Linked DNA regions of Caenorhabditis elegans. The protein of the gene in region 2 purifies or fractionates together with the protein of the main gene of each other region. This does not show direct contact. Each region holds a gene or a part of one and is shown on either strand. Other genes may lie near its edges. The genes, in order: sax-3 and ebax-1.

Evidence for each region.
Region 1: the proteins of ebax-1 (region 2) and sax-3 purify together in Caenorhabditis elegans (affinity purification with western blotting, with the first as the bait; one study listed by BioGRID). This does not show direct contact.

What each region holds. Positions count from the first base shown.
Region 1 is NC_003284.9:3,464,058-3,467,986, forward strand, and holds the start of sax-3 (Protein sax-3), read right to left. Parts: upstream 1,871-3,929; 5' UTR 1,829-1,870; coding exon of another isoform or gene 1,799-1,828; 5' UTR 1,786-1,798; coding exon 1,713-1,785; intron 1-1,712. UniProt on the Caenorhabditis elegans protein: Required to confine migrating sex myoblasts to the ventral muscle quadrants during their migration through the body and for multiple aspects of sensory, motor, and interneuron axon guidance.
Region 2 is NC_003282.8:10,285,047-10,288,975, reverse strand, and holds the start of ebax-1 (SWIM-type domain-containing protein), read right to left. Parts: upstream 2,022-3,929; 5' UTR 1,971-2,021; coding exon 1,911-1,970; intron 1,863-1,910; coding exon 1,396-1,862; intron 1,345-1,395; coding exon 1,045-1,344; intron 1,001-1,044; coding exon 28-1,000; intron 1-27.

The DNA.
Region 1 (3,929 bases), on a different chromosome or scaffold from region 2:
CGCAATACTGTCACATCTGTATTATGGTGTCGAAACGAACACCTTCCCTCACCGATTTTTCAGTAGAGATGTGCGACACTATTGTCCTTGACGGACGGTAGGTAATAAAATGATTCACTAGGAATTTTATCAAAATTTATGTATGTGTGTGTGTGTGTGTGAGTGTGGTAAAAACCTAGATAGTACATTAACGGCTGGTTTATTGGGTGTCGGTGGTCTATTACATAAGATTGCCATTGACCTCCGACGGATTACCCATCTTCTCCCATCTGCTTCAAAAAATATCAAAAAGCCATTTTGAATCACTTGTTTATGGCATTCACCCTGACACTGCTGCGCACACACTTAATAAAAATTTCAGCAGGCCGACTTGTTTTCCTCCACTTCAAAATACGGACCACTGTTGTTTTCCACTAGTAAATTACCAGACCAAAGTGTGGCTAACAAGCTGCCGGATTCAACAATTTAATTAGCCTGGCTGTCCTTCTGTCTCTTCTGTCACCTCTTTAACCTTTCAACAATCTAGCGTGCCAGTGTCAAAATGTGCGCACGCGAGTAAACTATCCATGAACCAATGTATTGTACTCTGGCTACAATTTAATGGCCGTGTTAACCTTCAAAATATTATACTACGCTGCCTGCCCGCCTTTTCATCCATAGGCAAGACAAAACCAAAGAGCTGTGAAGATGTACACATATCTCATCCTGTCAACACCCAATTTCACAATTCGCCCGTCATTCTTTCGCAACACATTGGTGTTGAAAGCTTCTGCTAAAAAGCAGGCTGTCTTTCTAAAACATGAGATGCAACTGAATATTTTGGACAGCGCCAACAGCTCATTAATAACCTACTAGTCTCTGGGGAGGGATTTCAAATAGCTTCTCATCTTCTATCAACCGCATGCTAATGATTCTCAATTTTACGGATATTCGCATGCATCTTAAAACTGTGCTAAAATGTTTAAATGACCCAGGTTGGGGCAATTTATCACATTGAATAATGACTTGCACATTGCACAAATTACATTGTGGAAATGTGGAAATGTGGAACAAGACAAATATCGAGAGTCTGCGGGTGGTCGCTCCCAACTGTTTCTTATATTTTCGTTGCAAATTACACTGGCTCTGGTCGCTGTACAAAAAGACTTATTGTTTTAAGAGATTAGCATTTGAATGGTGAATACTTGAGAACACGCGCCTCAATGAGACTAACTCCTCTCATTCATTTTCTATACCATTTATTCTCCCCCCGTCCTATTCACTATTGTTTTCTCAACATTACCATCCAAAAGCGGGGCTTGGCTCGGCCAAGAGGGCAGATGGCAGTCCAAAACGATAATCGAATCTTTTTACACTATAGTCGGCAAACGAGCTCACAATCCAAGCAGCGAACCCGCTTTTGGTGTTTGACAAAATGAAGAGTCATGTCTAATAGCGCAAGAGTAGAAAAAGCAGCGAGTAAAGAGCATTTTTCCAAGATGGAGGGCATTCGTTTCCGCGCATTCAGTCAATCTTCGTTTTAATCGCTTTCTTCGACATGGGAAATACAACCCAACCTAATGGATTTTCCAAGTTTCCAAGTGAATTCAAAGAAAACCCACGAGTGGATCGAATAGCGTGTCTTGTTGGCGACGCGTTTTTTTCACCATGTAACTTGACACTTTTGGTACATTCTTAACTTAACATTTTTTTTCTAGAAAAAAAAAACCAACCTTCGCAGAAGCTTCGGATTACTGCTTGCAATACCAGGAGGATAGTGCATAACAGCGTTTTTCGATTGAACATGATCTTGTTTTATTCAATCTGTGTCCAATTTCAAAGGCTGCATCTAATTGTGGCGGTGTTCTGAATTTCCAGTTGGGAGACACCTGCAAGAAAAACACAAAAGTAATCAAAGTTATTGGCGGTTGTTTTAAGAGTGGGCGACAAAATGACGGAAAGAGAATGAGGGAATATAAAAGGAGAAACAAGACAAAATAGGTGATGGGAAAAAGATGGAAAAGGGCGAAAAAAGCGTGGCCCTGGGTGTAATCATTCATCTTTGCTAGGGTGACACTCGGGAGAATAGATTTAGAAGGAAAAAAGGAAAAGACACAACAAAGTAATTGAAAAGTTGACGAGCGTCGTCGTCGTCGTTTTCAAGACGCGAAGACGATTTGTGCGTCCGTTTTTGCGCATTTTCGGTGGTGGTGGTGGTGGAGCGATTCGGACGGAAGCCGACCCTAAATTGGACTAGAGAGCCACATTCTAGAATGAAGAACAAATTTAGTCTTCTACGCGACGGAAGATGTTGGACAAAAAAAAATAAAGAAAAAATGCACGGGAGGCAAAAGTAGCCAGCAGGAAGACAAGCAACAAAAAAAATGAGGACGCAAAGTTAGGAGGCAAACGTAGTGAGACTGGTTAAAGATGACGCGCAGAAGGACGGATGAAGGATGGATATAGAAGATGAAAGAAAATGAACAAGTCGATTTTGAAAGGATTTTCTTAAATGCGGCGAGGCGTAATCAAAATTTGGTGTAGTGAAAAGGCAACTTGAAAAAGGAAACCTACTCTGACAAAAAATATAAAAAATCTTTAGTACTAAGTTCGTGGCAGATTGGGAAGTGTGCAGGAGTTGTTTCAAACTGCACAAGACTCCCGAAAAGCTATGCAAAATTTTATTTTACGCAGGAGTTGTGCAAGATTGTAGTAAGAATCCGTTGAAGTTTCAATCTAAGTAGAACTTCATCAAGTCTATATAGGCGTTTTACTTTACTTGGGAAATTTGATTTTTGCCAGAGTATCAATAAAATAACTATAGCTACAATTTGAACATGGAAATTAAAAACTTCAAACACAGCAAAATGGCCAAAATTAGGAAAATACCTTGAAATTAAAAGAAAAACGGATTTTCAACATCACCAAATGGTTCAAAATTTTTATACATACAAAAAGCTTTCATTGTTTCTCTAACAACCAAAAAGAAACAAATCACAATTTAGTACAAATGCATTTGCAGAACATTTAAAATGAGGACCGTTGAGACGAATTGCTAGAAGGCGTAGACGCAGAATGTTAGACATCAGATTTCCTCTTCAAGGTGTGTGTGCAATGCGCGGGGAGATAAACGCGCAAAGAGGAGTGAGACAAGTATCGATTTATGTTGTGCCAGCGATTGAATAATACTGATTAGATAAACTATCTGGCAACAGGCGGGCGAATAAGAAAAATCAATACGCTTTATTCTAGACAAGAAAGTACTCGAGAACATATCAAAGCTCTCAACTCAATAAGGTCGTCAGAAAGCTCATAATTGTCAGATAAATAACCTAAATAATGCGCGTCAAGAGCACGGCGATGACGGATGTCCATGTCATGCAAGCGGCTCGATACGGAACGAAACCGCATGGAATATGAGGGGATAGCCGGGGCTATACGTCGCCCCCTTCCCTGGTTAAGTAATTATTCCAATTCGTGGCCGCCCTCCTCTCACATTCGACTACCCGTTCATTAGGTCCATTGTAGACCGAACCTATGCCCATGGACCAACGAGGCAAACGATTGGGGGACGGGAGGACGACGAAGAAGAAGGAAAACCCGGCCCTGTCATACAACATCTGTCGTGTTGTGTCTATACGTTGTCAATGAGCAATAGTTACACTTGTAGTGGAACCGATAAAATTCGCAAGAATAGGTGGGGAGATTCGAAGAGCCTGTGATTTTTGCGGGGAAGCAGACGGTGGGGAAATGTGGAAAGTAAAAAAGTGAGAACCAGTGACAGGAATTGACCATAATTTCGCAAAGGTGTCGGCGGGGCGAGAAGCTGGACAATAAACTTTATGGCACTTTACAAAGTGCGTTTGTTCGTTGAAATGAGAAGATCACCTCTTTTTCCGAAAAGCAAAAAGTTCAGAAGAAAGATGGCACAATAACCAAAAAGAAAAAAA
Region 2 (3,929 bases):
AATTTTTTTTCAAAAACAAAAACATACCGCATCAACATAGAATATCGCATCAGTGGGAACACCAAATCGAATATCTTTTTCATTTAGATAGTTACACATTTGAATTGCTGGATAGAACCCAGGGAAGCAATTCAGAGTGAACTTCATATTCTGAGATGACAGAGGGTATCTAATATCCATGTTTGTGATTGTCTGGAGTATTGCAGCTGTTTGGTGATTGCTTAGAACTGTAGCATCAGTTGTTTGAGTGACTTCCGCAGGAATCGGTGGAGCCAAAGTGATCATATTTTTCAAACGATTAACTGCAGTTCGATGGTAGTCTTGAAGGTAAGGTACTAGCTGTGATCGGTATAATTTTCCAGCTCTTGGATTGAGTGCCACCAACTTCCAGAGTATGACAATTTCATCGCAAAGCTGAGAACAATTCAGTTGGGCGAGCATTTGGGAATTTGGAACTTTGAAGCAAGAAGTCTGAGCCCAATGCCCTGACTGAACCAATTTAGTAATGTACCACCATAAAAGAACTTGATGGTTTGATAGACACTCATCAGTCACAGTTCTCAACAGTGCCACAGCGTTTTCATCGTTTCTTGCAAACATTTCTCGAATCATTTGTAATAAATTCCACATTCCTTCTGGATCACGACATCGAAGAGGTTTAATCATGGTTGTCCACTCAATATGAGTAGGATGATGAGTTGCGGTGAGATACTGTATATCACAATGAACAGAGGGAGCTGGCACACAATATTTGATCAGAAGTCTCCGAATTTTGCTTTCGATTTCTGGGAAATCGTAACGAGAGACTGGATCATGTCCACCATCCGTTGGGTCGGGAGCTCCATGGAGATTGTTTATATTTGAATGTGGATCCTTGATTTGATCAATTAATTTTTGGAACCCGGGAATACATTTGCGTGGAATCTCATTGATATGCCATTGAACAAGTCGTCGAAGATCAAAATCACTCATTGAATTGATTGCGTCGGCTATGGTTTCCCTGAAAAATGAAATTAGAATCTTTTGAGATTTGTACGTGCTTACTTGAATTTTATATTGCTCCTTTCGTAAATTCGATAGATGGACAATGCCACCACATGTTTGCACCAACTAGAACGATTCGAGCATTCACAGGTGCATTCGACAATCCGACATCTGTCTACTTTCACTGTTACATGGAAAGATGAATTATCATCATATTGAATTGGACGGGTATCTGGATGCGTTGAGTTACTGATGTTACCACTGAGTAGAAAACCAGTTTGTGAGACATCTCGAACATTTCCCCATTCATATATGGTTTTTCCAAGTTCATATTGCTCAGATGACCCGTTGGCAAGAGTACTGAAAAATAAGAATTTAAATATTTTGTCAAAAAGGAAGCAAATAACTAACCTATACATTCGAATTTCATCAGTAGATTGTGGGAAACAATGAACTATAAATGAAAGAAAAATCTTCTCAGGAATAGTGGAGATTGGTGGAGGCATTGCAAGTTTCTCTGCTCTCGAAGTACATATATGAGAGTACATTTCTTCAAGTTGCTGAAACGACCATTTTTCCGCACAAACTCTTGCAGAAATTTCCGATAATGTGAGCAGAGTTCCAATTGAATCATCTCCTCTTGACATCATTGGATGTTGACTCAATGGATTGTTTGGATCCCCGGGTACCACTGTTCTTGTTGATGCTGAGGAAAACCGTCCTGATGCACTGTAATGCTGGTAAACAACACAAGAAAGTCCAGGTTGGATTGCTTCACAATTTGATTGACAATCTGTCCATCCTCTCCAATTCTGACTATTTCCATCAAGTGATTCGTCTAGTGAAACTTGTGAGTCCTCCTCAAATCTCTCAGAATCCTAAAAGATATTTATTTTAATTATCATAATATTCAATATTAATCAAACCTCAAATGAGACATCATCGCGGCCGTTCCATACATTGTTGCCCACTGCATTTGGCAGCATACCACCAACGTTTGCAGGTGTGAAGTGGACTCACGAGTAGAACACGAAAGTCTGGAAAAAAATAAATGTTTATTTGAGGGATTCATAGAAATCTAAGAGATTTATTAGGAAACAACAAACACCCAAGAAGCTGTTTATTTTTAAAGATACACCTTCAGTTTTCAACTTACAAGGAAAGTATTTCAACGTATTAATGGACTTTGAAATGAAGCATATTTCATTTGAAAGAACATTTTCCAAAAAAAAGTCACTACGAAAAGTTTAGCTGCTTGCGGACACTTTGAATCAAAAAAAAGTAGATCTAAAGTTCCCTTCAGGCCATTTTCTCACAAAAATCAATGATTCATAAAATGACTCAGAAGAGTTTTTTTCAGGTCTTATCTTTTTTTTAATAAGCGTTATAAACATGGTAACATTTTAAGACGTTTTCAAAATAAAAATTTTGAAAAAAAAAATTTCAAACTTTCTGGTCAAAGTAATGTTAAAATTTTCAATTCGAAAATTTATTCGAAATTTTTTTGGAATTTTTTTTGAATCACTGGCACATAAATTAAGATGATTGAATTGACTATTTGCATAGTTGGGTATAAAATTACAATCAGTCAGTTCTGTCTCATAAATTGAAAAGTTTGAGGACAAAGAAAGAATCCTATTGAAAGAGGTGATATTGCCCAGTAAATACATAATTTGGTCAAAATATTTGTACATAACCATGTAAATGACCTATTAAAACATCTCCATTCCAGTAATTCAAAAAAAAATCCAAAAAAATTTAGAAACATAATACAGGAAATAGAAGGAGTTCAAAAAGATTTTCTGAACTTTTCAGAAAGTAGGCTAAAATACGGAATTGGATCATTAGAAGAAAAGACAAAAAGTTTGAAAGGAAACTAATTGGTGGAGAAATTAATATTAATCAAAAACATTTTTTCAAATTCACAACTTCTGATCGCACTAGTAACCGGCTCACTTATAGATGGAAAACCTCTAGATCTAAACTTCGATCCCAATTGTTCACTCATCATGTGTTGAGTTTAATTTTAAGCCCAAATGAAATCAATTACCCTAGTTAGTTACAATTCTCATGCAAAGATTTTATTAACAAATTTCACTTCTTTATGTAGTTTATCAGTAGATACACATGTGTTTCGCGGTTTTTTAAATATTTATGGAATGTAGTTGAGGCATCAGCAATATGATGAAGCAAATATTTTGCACTAAAAGTCGCAATTAGCAATATATTGCTAGAATGTTGGTGGTCCCGCAGCGAGATTAGCGATTTGCAAATTGCATCTAAAATACTGGTGGCCATAAGTATTTTATAACGGCGAATCACCTGTGTCATAGCCTTTCTAAATTATTTGCACTTTCATCATAATTTTTTTTCTTGCGATTCTCTCCATTTTCCGTTCAATGAACGATTTAATACGCATGTTCAATAATAATAAAATTTATCCGAGAGGAGTACAGAAGAAAATTAACATCGCTGCGAGACCAATCGCTACAGTACTCAATGTCGATTTACGGAGGAAACATGTTTTGATTTCTCATTGTTTCTTTTGTCATTTTTTGTCATTTTAGTTTTAAAACTTAATTATCCTCTAATGATTTGCGCGGTTTTTTATTAAATTTTTGATTATTCTCGTAGCTTTTGAGTTAAACTAATTAAAAGTCTTCAGCTATGCTAAATTTTGCTTCCTTTTCTTGAATGAAAACCTAAAATGAACAAAATTTTTTGTCATTAAATAACAACGCTTCGGTTAACGCTTGAAATTGATATTCGGAAAATAAAAAGCCTGATTTTTGTTCGATTTCTGAAATATATTTCATGCTTTACCCGTTTTTAATTGCGAACAATTCTAAATTTGAAATATAATTTTCAATCAACGAAAAACAATTTTCAAGATAAAAAATTATTATATAAATTTAAGCTAAGTATTAATAAATTAATAAGTAATA